Linked DNA regions of Cricetulus griseus. The protein of the gene in region 2 purifies or fractionates together with the protein of the main gene of each other region. This does not show direct contact. Links are inferred from orthologs where the notes say so. Each region holds a gene or a part of one and is shown on either strand. Other genes may lie near its edges.

What was found.
Region 1: the proteins of Sirt6 (region 2) and G3bp1 purify together in Homo sapiens (affinity purification with mass spectrometry; 3 studies listed by BioGRID and IntAct, with this or other methods). This does not show direct contact. The link is inferred for Cricetulus griseus from reciprocal best matches to the Homo sapiens genes SIRT6 and G3BP1.

The regions. Positions count from the first base shown.
Region 1 is NC_048600.1:69,677,901-69,683,168, reverse strand, and holds the end of G3bp1 (ras GTPase-activating protein-binding protein 1), read right to left. Parts: intron 5,092-5,268; coding exon 4,980-5,091; intron 4,833-4,979; coding exon 4,704-4,832; intron 4,128-4,703; coding exon 4,018-4,127; intron 3,226-4,017; coding exon 3,016-3,225; 3' UTR 1,807-3,015; downstream 1-1,806. UniProt on the Homo sapiens protein: Protein involved in various processes, such as stress granule formation and innate immunity. Plays an essential role in stress granule formation.
Region 2 is NC_048598.1:102,382,555-102,389,453, reverse strand, and holds Sirt6 (NAD-dependent protein deacetylase sirtuin-6), read left to right. Parts: upstream 1-2,370; 5' UTR 2,371-2,456; coding exon 2,457-2,522; intron 2,523-2,704; coding exon 2,705-2,832; intron 2,833-3,031; coding exon 3,032-3,274; intron 3,275-3,885; coding exon 3,886-3,945; intron 3,946-4,935; coding exon 4,936-5,031; intron 5,032-5,103; coding exon 5,104-5,184; intron 5,185-5,376; coding exon of another isoform or gene 5,377-5,518; exon of another isoform or gene 5,519-5,582; intron 5,583-5,625; coding exon 5,626-5,749; intron 5,750-5,831; coding exon 5,832-6,098; 3' UTR 6,099-6,635; downstream 6,636-6,899. UniProt on the Homo sapiens protein: NAD-dependent protein deacetylase, deacylase and mono-ADP-ribosyltransferase that plays an essential role in DNA damage repair, telomere maintenance, metabolic homeostasis, inflammation, tumorigenesis and aging.

The DNA of each region.
Region 1 (5,268 bases), on a different chromosome or scaffold from region 2:
GTTAAGATTTACTTACTTCTAACAGACTCAGGGCTGGAGAAAGATGCTCAGTGGCTCAGAACATTTTGCTGCCCTTCCAGGACACGAGTTCGGTTACCAGCACCTATGTAGAAGGGCCCACTCACCTGTAATTCCAACTCCAGGGGGGTCATCAACATCTTCTGATTCCCTAGGCACCTGCACACACATGGTAAACATTCACACAAACACGCACACATGTACACATAAGAGTAGGACTCACTTAGCTAAAATACTGGTTAAGACCCTGCTCAATGGCAAAGAACTATGCAGTCATCCCTACAGATCTTAATTTCATCTGAGAAGGCTAAGGGGCAGCCACTTACAGAGACCCTATGCTTTCTGTGTGACCATGGGTACCTCTACTAAGCTGTTTTTGGCTTCATGTGGTATCAATATTGACAGACTGGCATCCAGATTCTCAGTGCTAACTGTGTTGCCAAGTCCTGTCAGGCCCATGACCTTTCAAAGCACCCCTATCCCAACCCCACTGCTGTAAAGTGGGGCTCAAGCAGACCCCTAACCTGTCACAAGCAATTCGGGCCCGGGCACTCCCCCCTCCACACACACACACACACACACACACACACAGCCTGCACAGTAGAGGTCACTTATCTGAGGCTGAAGAGAACAGCACTTTCATCTCCCAATTCCACCACCATTCCCTGTATCCACAGATTCAATCCAGATGTCACCCTTATTTCCAAAGAGGGTAAGAGCCACATCCCATGACACCTCAATTTACACAGCCAAATGCCAATCACCTCTTTAGGTTAGTACTCCTGGCTATAAAGAACTACTATTTGACTTAGTCCTCAATTGTAAAAATCATTTTTAGATTTATCGAGCTACTGAATCTTACAGACAGACCTTATTACAAAGGCCTGGCTGGCTTTGAACTTGAGATTTTCCTGTGCCCAGGGCATATTATCTGAGACTATAAACCTGTGCCAAAAGGCATTGCTTCTGTGTTTTTCAGTAGTCTGGGGTACCTTTTGTCTCTCTATGGCTACCTTTTGTTTTTTGACAAGGTCACACTATGCAGCCTTGGCTGGAACAAACTTGCTTCATAGAGCAGGTTAGCCTCACACAGACACACATGCTTCTGCCTCCTGAGTGTTGGGATTAAAGTCATGAGCCACCCAACACTTTATGTAATCTACACAAGTACCTGTTATAATCATTGGTCTGAAATGAAGATATTTAAATTGACCCTAAGCTAGTCATCACCTGCAGGTGCTGCCAAAATTCTGATCTGTGAGGTGCTGAGCCCAAACTGATAACCTCTCATTTTTATCCCAACTAGCCTTTCTGACAACAAAACCGAACTTACCCATCCATGACCGTTTTCAAAATGAACATTAAGGAAGTGAGGAGATGACTACCATGCTATGTGCAAGTGTGAAGATCTGACTCTAATCCCCAGAACCCACAGAAAAGTCAGATCTGGCACATGTCTGCAGTCCCTGGACTACCTGTGGCTTATGGGCTAGTTAGCCTGGCTGACGCAGAGAAAAATAAGACTGTCTCAAACGGTAGAATATAAGGACTGGCACCCAATCTGTCCTCTGACTCCTACAAGTATGCTGTGGTACACCCATGTGTGAAACTCCCCCACCCCATTCCCCCCCACACACACACACACAAATTACATTAGGAAAAGTTAGATTTGACAATCTGGTTATTCACACACCAAGTCTGTATAAACAAAACCTTCACCCACTTCACACACAGCACTCAACACAACACTGTGAAGTGAGTTTTAGCAGTCTACATTGTCAAATGAAGTTTTCTTCCAGAAATATTTTAATAAAAATTGGCCTTTTCCAAGAAACACCCACTGCATGTCCATCAGTAAAAGAGAACCGTAACAAAATAGAAAATTTACCATATGGCTATGATTTAAAGAAAAAAAATATGCAGACCCTGGAGTACATTAGCCAAGTCCAAGATTCAAGCCAAATCCTTCTGAGGGGCCTATCAGGAACCCGATAGACAGCAGAGTAGAATGTGGCCCGTCAGCCACTGAGGTCAGAGGCCTCACAGAAGCACCTTCCTCAAAAGCGGTCCAGTCTGAGGCGTGATTTTAGGATAAGGCAGAACAATGTTAACACGACACATACAGGTGATCAAAAAAATTCTACAGTTCCCCCACATACTCTGAATCTGAAAACAAATCTAGAATCTTTATTACTTTTCTTTAAACAATTGCCAGGGCCAGAATCAAAGATAAATAGAAGGCACAGTTTTGCTTGGTTTTGTTATCAGATTTGGGGTTTGTTTTCTTGCGGGGATTTTTGTCCTTTTTTTCTTTTTTTTTTTTTTTACAAATACAAATAAAACATGAAAAACTCTACCTCAAAAAAACTAACAGTTCAACAAAAATCCTTAGCTGCGTTCTAGACATTGACAGGCTACGTCACAATTAAAATCCAATGGTAAAAACAGATGTTTGGAACTGTTTGGTAATCACATGTCAAAAGAACAAAGTTCTGGAAACACCTTTTATTCAGTTAGCCACACCAGCAGGGACCCAGTGGCAGTTGCCAAAAGGCAATTTTTCCACACCAGAACGGAGTCGTGACTCTTGACAGATAACATGGATTTTTCCTGCTTCCAAAATGTTTATCAAATCCTGTGTCTCCCAACAAATGAAACATCCATTGTCAGTGAGAAGCGAGACGCGCTCCTTTGGGGAATGGCCGTTACACTCCAGTCTGTATCTGCAGCGTGAGCAGGAAGGTGAGACTCCCTCCTCTTCTTAAAATCCTACTCCTCCTAAAGTATCGTTCCAGAAAACTGGAAGTGAAGGACTAAAAGGTCAGGGGAGGAAAGGGGAAGTGGGGGGCACACACCATGAACACAAGCGAAATTAAAATTGTACAAACTTGAGCAGTTTATAATAGACTACTCCAAGACACCAAAGGCTGGTTGAAGGAATTCACCATTCTGCAGGAGCCAGGGCTGTGTGCTGTGTGGAGATCTGGGCCAAGTAATTCACTGCCTTGGAGTTGTAATCCCCCTGCCCACACCAAAGCCTGGTTTCTGCACCATGCCTCCGCGGGGAGGGCCTCTCATCCCACCACTCGGCCCACCACGGGGGCCTCCAGGTCCCCGAAGGCGGTTATCCCTGCGGTCTCCTTCCCTGGCAGCTCGAGTCTTCTTCTCTTCCACATTCAGACGGACTGCGCCTCGGAACATGATGGGCTGTGTGAGGAACAAAGAAAGCAGACACTGAGTCCGGCTCCTGACCCTGACCGTGACTATCAGAAGTGAACAACACAACCCTAAGGAGCAAGCAGCTTTCAACCAACTAGTTCTCACAAACCTGCTTCTGTTGAACTAATACATGCACCTGTGGTGAGCTGTTCAGGGAGTAGAAAAGAGTCTAAACAGCCCTGGAAACATAAGTAACTCAAACTTCAGGTAAACTCAATGATAGACGCATCCGGCGGGGGGGGGGGGGGGGGGGGGGGGGGGGGGGGGGGGGGGGGGGAGGCACACGCCTTTAATCCAGCACTCAGGAGGCAGAGGCAGGCGGATCTCTGAGAGTTTGAGACCAGCCTGGTCTGCAAGAGCTAGTTCCAAGACAGCCTCCAAAGCCAGAGAAACGCATCAGAGAGATCCGTTGATTAAAAAAAAAAAAAAAAAAAAAAGACGCCTCCACAGCTTTGGAGTTGAATGTGAACATGGCCTCCTGCATGGAAAGTGACACACAAGGAGGTAGTGCTAAACCCACAAACAAACAAACACTGAAATGAGTGCAGTAAACGTCAGTGAAATGCAGAGGTGGAAAGTACTTGAAGTGTCATATGCATGGTCAGAAGCCTTGGGAGTTATCAAAATAGCTAACTCCACTGCCAGGGGATGTGTCCCCAATTTTCTCAATCTAAGAGCACCGCACACACCTGGCACACATACATACATGAAGTCAAAACGCATACACATAAAATAAAAATAAATCTTAAAACACACACAGAGAGATGCAAATCTACTTACCCTATGGTTGAGGACCTTCTGAACAGGCTCAGAATCATCAAACACAACAAAACCGAAGTTGGGCAACTTCCCGCCACTGTTAATGCGCAGCTCCACCACGTTCCCATAATCTGTAAGTGCAAAGAGCTCACAATTTCCTTGCAGGCACCCAGTTTTACAGCATTCAGCTTACATCAAGAGCAAGATGTGCTAATGAATTTAAAATGATTTCCAAGATGTCAAACTAAAATGCAAAAAGAGAGTTCAAATGCCCCTTAGATGAATGCCTATACTAACCAAGATCTAAGGGTTCCAGGCCATGGGGTTTGTGAACTTTGTGAACTTTGGATCTTGGCGAGCGGACCCAAGTGTAAAAGACAATGCATTACACCTCTCACATGCTCCTTATTCACCACTGTGAAGGAGTGTCATGCAACGCTGTAGCACACCTGCAACTCATGACACTGAGATCAGGGTGGAATCTTCCACTTGGTGTCACGCTCAAGGGAAGTGACAGCTATGACACTTATTTTGGAGTGACTGCTCAGGCAGAAGTCATGTTTGTGGAAAGGAAGGTTCATTTCGGAATTGGACTAACCAGGCCTTAAGCCCACTCCTTGTTACTAGAAAACCTGACATTACACCTGTGCCTCCACTGTGTGATGCTGTCTAGGAAATCAGGACCACATTGAGACTCAAGCACCTACTTTGGAAAAAATCCTTCAGTTCCGACTTGTCAACCTCATGTGGCAGGTTCCCGATGAAGAGCTGGTGACTGTCAGGGTGCCTCACCATCCTCCGAGGTTCCACATCTCCTGGCTCACCAGCCTCACGGACTTCAAAGACAAAACAAGAGTCTCAGAGACCCTTCACAAACAAGATTCCCCCCACCCAAAACCAAATCGTTCCACTGCACCAGCCAGGTCAAGATACATTCTCCTCTTAAAACCATCCCAAGCCAGACAAGTCGCCAAAGCTCTTACTTGGCCGGGGTCCCCTCTGAGGAGGAATATTGATCCGTTGCTCTCGAACTCTCTGATCTCTCTGAGGTCTTTGTGGTGGAATCTGAGATTCAGGCTTAGATTCTGGACGAGGCTGAAAAAGGTTACTGATTATCCTTTGTGGGAAGCCAAAGTAGCTTATCTGATGGTAATTTCCTTTTTTAAAAAATTTAATTACATTTATTATGTGTAAGTGCCACACACACATACAAGTGGGTTCCACACATCCAACTCAGGTTGTGAGGCTTGGTGGCAGGTGCCTTTACCCACT
Region 2 (6,899 bases):
CTTGACGAACCCGTGTGAGGGTGACACGGAGGTCGTGGAGCAGAGAATTGCTAGATTCAGAGGGATTCAAATGAAAGCAGGAGTGGGAAAGCAGAGCTGGGCCACCAGAGGGAGTCAGTGGGCCCATGTGCAGGGTTAGCATTCTGCTAGCACAAAAAGAACTGGTCCATGAAGCTGCTAGGGCAGCTACTAGGGGCCTGGGTGGTGGAGGGAGCTAAAGGCAGAGCCCTGGGCTCTGAGCTACGATGGCAGTTTGAGAATGAGGTGGGGATGAGGGCTTGTGCCCTCTCCCAGGCCTGCAGACTCACCTCTGTCTTCTTGAACCTTGCCCGGAGGGTCTTCATCAAGCCAGCTGGGGACTCTGGTCCTGTCTCTGGGGAAGGGATGGGTGGAGTGAGCCAGCGTGCTGGGGGGGTCAGTCATAGCATCCTGCACAGCACAGCCTCTGTTCTCCCACACTGCCAGTCCCTCTCTGCTGTGTGTCCCTGAGAAGGTGAGTTGCCCTGTCTGAGGAAACTGTCCCCAACTGTAAACAGAGGAGCTAATCCTTCACCCAACAGCACAGTCCCCAGAAGGGGCTGATGGACAGTAACAGGCATCACCACGACCCCATTAGCTCAAGCACCTCACACAGCTCTGCAATCTTGTTCTTGTGCAATCACTGATGCTAAGACCCACCCTCCTTCTCTGTAGAACTAACCCTAAAAACCCCAGGTGCTGATCAGTGTTGTCTCCCAGACAGAATGAAGTATATCTCCCCAGTTGGAACTACTTCCATTTTCCCCAGCGGGGGCACTTCCTCTGTCTTTAATCTGGCTTCTAAGCAAGGTGCAGCCACTAGACTGCATCCAGGGTTGCCAGTAACAAACTTTTTACTTACTGGGGTTGAGGGAAGGAGACACCTGACAATCAGCCCCTTGTAGGAAGGCCAGTCACGTTTCTGACTACTCTCAATGAGCAAAAGCAATCTATTCAGGGAAGACCCACCCACCACCCACCCATCCATCCACCCATCCCACCCATCCATCCATCCATCCACCCCCCCCACCCACCACCCACCCATCCACCCCATCCATCCATCCATCCATCCATCCACTCATCCATCCATCCATCCATTCATCCACCCACCTGTCCATCCTTCCTTTCTCCTCTACAGCTCAGTGTACAGCTCATTCTCACCCCCAATTATAAAGTTCAATCACACCCAAGGGTAACAGGAAACTCAGGTTGGCAGTCAGGATGGAATCGTGTGGGTAAGGCCTGTGAATTTAGGGGTCTCCCTCCTGGAAGAGGTGGGGCAGCACAGGTCCGCTGACCTGTGGGTTCCCACAATGGTTCAGGGAGGAGGCCGCACATTGAGCGAGGTCCGCGCATGTCGGGTGGGTCCCGTGTACCTGTCACGAGTGTGCAGGTGCATGTATGTGTTCGGGTGTCGCAAGCAGCCCCCTCCCCAACCCCCTGACACAGTATCCCCTTCCTTGGGACCCAGAGCAGCGTCTTCCCTGGCCTCTCACAGTCTCATCCCCCTACCTGAGGCGTCTCTAGGCCAGAGCACTGCGTGCACCACAGCCTCTCTGGTTACCCGCTCCAAGTGCGAGCTGCCAGCAGCAGAGTCGGGGTGACACCTGATCAGGAAGGGGGGGCATCCGCCCAGGGGGACGGGATGAGCCCAGAGAGGGAGGACTGCTGTTGGCCAGCCTGCTCATGTGGGCAGCCCCAAGGACTGCTGCCCCCATCGCCGTGGCCTGGTCCCGTCTGACCACCAGCAGGCACAGGGGTCAGGATGGACTGCCACAGGAGGGGATCACAGGAGGTGCTTCTGACCCAGTATCCCCTTCCCCATCTCTCTCTGCGTCTCCGGGCCCCTCTGTGTAACGTGGGGACCTGACCGTGATGCTCTGTGCTATCCCCAGAAACAAAGCTGAGAACATGCTGGCAGGGCGCCCGGGGGAGGGGGTGCCTGTGAACCCCAAGTTCCCATTCATTCTATCCTGTGGCTCAGAAAGGGGCAGACACGGGCTGACAGCCGCACAGCAGAGACCCAAAGGCCGCCCAGGGTCTCACGACCTCTAGACGGGCTTCGAACTCCCGCCGCGGCTGTATGCACGAGGGGTGAGCTCTACCCACGGAGTGAGAGTTCCGGGGGTTGTTTTTAATGGTTTTTGTTGCTGGTTTTGTCGCTTTTCTGAAACAGGGTCTCATTGCACAGCCAGGCTGGGCTGGGACTCGGTTCCTGCGAGCGCGCCGGGGACGAGAAGGGAAGGCTCGCGAGGCAGCCCGCAAGTCTCTGCCAGCACTAAAGATGGCGCCCGCGGCGTCAGTGCGGCGCGCGCGCTCCGGGGGGAAACACCTCCTCCGCCTCTAACGCTCCCACCCCGGCGGTCCCTTCCCCATTTCCGGCGGAAGCGGCCTCAACAAGGGAAACTTTATTGTTCCCGTCTGCGCTGTTGGCGACGATGTCGGTGAATTACGCAGCCGGGCTGTCGCCGTATGCGGATAAGGGCAAGTGCGGGCTGCCGGAGGTGAGGCCACGGTGTCCCGGTCGCCAGACGGGGGCCCGGACGAGTGGGGCATTGTGGGGACAGCACGAAACACGGAGTGTAGACAGCGGGAAGGACTTTCCTGGAAGGAGGACCCCGCGGGCGGGGTGGGTGCGGTGCGGTGGGGTCCGTCCCTGAGCCCAGCTGTGCCCCCGTCCCCACAGATCTTCGACCCCCCGGAGGAGCTGGAGCGGAAGGTGGGGGAGCTGGCCCGGCTGATGCTGCAGGCCTCCAGCGTGGTTTTCCACACGGGCGCCGGCATCAGCACCGCCTCCGGCATCCCCGACTTCAGGTCTGTGAACGAGCACGGGAAACTGAGGCAGGGCGCTGGCGGGGACGGCCGTGAGGTGGGGCAGCCGCCACAGATCCCGGCGATGTGTGGCTGCAGGGGATGCTGGGACGCGTCTGCGGGGTCCCCGGCTGCGGGGTCCCCGGCTGGCCGGCTGGCTCTCCCCGACAGGGACCCAGCCCGCAGCACACACTGACTTCAGGCTCCCAGGACGAGGCCTGCACTCGAAAAGGAACTTCTGTCCTCTGCTCGCTGTCCTCAGAGGCCCCCACGGCGTGTGGACCATGGAAGAGCGTGGCCTGGCCCCCAAGTTTGACACCACCTTCGAGAACGCCCGGCCCTCCAAGACCCACATGGCCCTGGTGCAGCTGGAGCGCTCGGGCTTCCTCAGCTTCCTCGTCAGCCAGAATGTGGACGGGCTGCACGTACGCTCGGGCTTCCCCAGGTCAGATGGGACTGGACCAGGGGCGTGGGGCTCAGCTGCACCCCTTCCTTATCCGGGAACCAGGCTGCCTGCCCGGGGTCAGGGACATTTTATTGGAGATGGAAAGGGGGGAAGAGCTTGGAGCCTAAAGTAGGCCAGCACTTGGTCAATGGGGGGGTTTCTAGGTGGGGCTCCACCCTGAGCCACGCCCCCAGCCCCTCACTGGGGGCGTCTAGGCAAGTGCTCTAAGGCCAACAGATTGTTTTCTGTTTTTTTGTTTTTTAAGATTTTCGAGACAGGGTTTCTCTGTGTAGCATTGGAACCTATCCTGGAACTAGCTCTGTAGACCAGGCTGGCCTCGAACTCACAGAGATCCGCCTGCCTCTGCCTCCCGAGTGCTGGGATTAAAGGCGTGCGACACCACGGTCCATCTGGCCAACAGATTTTTGTAGTGGGGAGCAGCTATTTGTGTTTGCAGAGATAGGGTCATCGCCACCTGTAACAATTCCTCAGCCTAGACCTTGTGGGTGAGCAGCCTAGGAAGGCTTTCTGGAGGAAGAGGCAGGCTGAGCAACTGGTCCAAGCCTCAGGGTTCAGGGAGGAAGGGACCTGACTCTCATTCTCTTCCGCAGGGACAAGCTGGCTGAGCTCCATGGAAACATGTTTGTAGAGGAATGTCCCAAGTGTAAGACGTGAGTGTCCGCAAGTGAAGACCGGCAGGGGAGGGGCTCTCCCAGGGTGGGGCTCTCCCAGGTTCCTCCGCTGAACCAGCTAACAGGTCCTGAAATGGCCCCAGGGAAAGCTGGGAGGTGCCTCTGATTCCAGTGACAGTCAGTTAAAAACAGACAAGCTATGAGGAGGTCCCCCAAGCAAGAAGCTACAAAACAGGGCGACACAAGCCACATCCTTGGAAGTGAGGGGTTCTCCCTGCCCCACCCCCCTGCTGTGGCTCCCAGCCAGCAGACAACATTGCTTTACACCAGATCCTCGAGGGTGTTAGGCAAGAGCTGTGCCCCTGAGCTTCAGCCCCTGACCCCCTCTTTAAGTTGCCTCTGCTTCCTGGTGCTGAGATCACAGCCAATGAGCCATCATGTTTGGCCACCCCACACACACACTGGTGGATGGTCTTGTATTGTTGTTGGTTTGGTTTTTTGCTGTTGTCATTTGGAGGGGGGGGGTTTAAGGATTTACCCATTTACTTAATGTATGAGTGTTCTGCCTGCTTGTACGCCTTTATGTCAGAAGAGGGCACCAGATCTCATTACAGGTGGTTGTGAGCCACCAGGTGGTTGCTGGAAATTGAGCCTGGGTCCTCTGGAAAAGCGGTTAGTGCTCTCCAGCCCCAGCATCAGGTGTCTTAACTCAACCCCTCTCCTTGTGTTCTGAAGCACAGTCTCTCAGAACCTGTCAATTGCTGGTTTTGCTGAGTGGCCAGGAACCTCCTGGGGTCTCCAGCGCTGGGGTGGTAAATCTGCTCCATTGTGCCGCCTTTTGAACTCAGGGCCTCATGTCTGCATGTCAAGCCCTTCCCAGACTGAGGCACCTGTCTTTGTATCCCTAGGCTGTTGGTCTTGCAGTGTAGCCCAGGGATTGAGCCTGTACCCCATACACTGGTTACACCACCCCCAGACCCCTGAAAGAGCGCTAGACAAGTCACATCCCCCTCCTTCCCCCCTGTACAGGCAATACGTGAGAGAGACAGTCGTGGGTACCATGGGCCTCAAGGCCACGGGCCGGCTCTGCACAGTGGCCAAGGCCAGGGGCCTAAGGGCCTGTAGGTGAGTAACCTTCCTCACACCTGCCCCTGTCAGGAAGTGAGGGCCCTAACTCCCTTCCCTGACCTGCTGCAGGGGGGAGCTGAGGGACACCATTCTGGACTGGGAGGACGCACTGCCTGAACGGGACCTGATGCTCGCTGATGAGGCCAGCAGGTGTGACCCCGTGCTCCCTGGGTGGCAGTGGGTGGGCACAGCTGTACAGGCATGGGATAGACTTCCACAGAAGATCAGGACTCAGGGGTGGGACAGCAGAGTGTCCTCTGCAGCGCACCCACACCCTTGGGCAGGATAGGTGCGGAGGGGACCCTGGGATGATTGGAAGCTTTGTTTGGTTTCTTGTTTCAGGGTTTCTGTGGTACTGGGGAGAATACTGGGCCTTGGTGCACTAAACAAGCACAGAACTAGAGCCCCACCTCCACCCCGCACTGGGGATTCTAAGCGGGGCTCCACCCTGACCACGCCCCCAGCCCCTCACTGGGGATTCTAGGCGGGGCTCCACACCCTGACCACGCCCCCAGCCCCTTACTGGGAGATTCTAGGCGGGGCTCCACACCCTGACCACGCCCCCAGCCCCTCACTGCTTCCTGCTCCCAGGACCGCAGACCTGTCAGTCACCCTGGGCACCTCGCTGCAGATCCGTCCAAGTGGGAACCTGCCCCTTGCCACTAAGCGCCGGGGAGGCCGTCTGGTCATTGTCAACCTACAGCCCACAAAACACGTATGTGCCAATGCCCTGCCCTGTGGCCCTGTGTTCCCTGCCATGTCCCCTGCTCCGGCCTAACTGTCCGTCACTCTGGCAGGACCGCCAGGCTGACCTGCGAATCCATGGCTACGTGGATGACGTGATGAGCAGGCTCATGAAGCATCTGGGGCTGGAGATCCCCACCTGGGATGGACCCTGCGTGCTGGACAAGGCCCTGCCACCTCTGCCACGCCCTGCTGTGCCCAAGACTGAGCCTCCTGCACATCTCAATGGCTCGGTGAATGCTGTTTGTAAGCCAGAGCCCAACAGCCCTGTACCCCACAGGCCCCCCAAAAGAGTAAAGACCGAGGCTGTCCCCAGCTGACCCGGGTGCGAGGGGTGGGAGGGGCACTTGTAAGAGCCACACGCAGTGGGATTTTTATTCTGTTTTCTTTCTGTGTGCTGAAGACTGAGCCGGGGCTTGCCCATGCCATAACCCACCTTTTTCATATTTTTCTTTGAAACCTGGGCTCCCTAAGTCACTCAAGCTGGCCTTGAACTCACTGCTGTAGCCCAGGTTGGCCTGGAGCTGGCATCCTGCCCCCCCTCAGCCTCCACAGTAGCAGGGTGGCAGGCAGGTGCCACCAGGCCCAACACAGCTCCTTGGGAGTCTCACTGTAGCCCTTGTCCACGTCCCTCTGAGGAATCTTGGGACACGGAGTCCCAGTGTCAAGGATTCATGTGCCTGTCCACCTGCCACACCCTGCTTGTGACTCAGGATGTGCCTGAGCGGCGGCCACACACTCCATCCCGCACCCCTTGATCCAGAGCCACCAGGGATCCGTCTACGCTAAGGGCCCCAGTCTCCTGGAAACACCCAATGCAATAAACATGGAATTCCTTTCATTTTTTTTAAATTTTATTACATTTACTTATTTCCTTTCTGTGTGAATGTGTGCGTTTTTGCATGTACATGTGTGTATAGTGTGGAGGTTCATGTGTGGAGGTCAAGGGACAGCCTGAAGCAGTCAGTTCTCTCCTCTACCACATGGCTCCCAGGAACGTAGCTCCATCGTCAGGCTTGGCTGTAAGCGCCTTTCCCGGCTGAGCCTTTTCACCAGCCCTAGCCTCCTTTATTTGCCTGGGTGTGTTAGAATCCCCAGCCAGCCCATGCTACATGAGACTC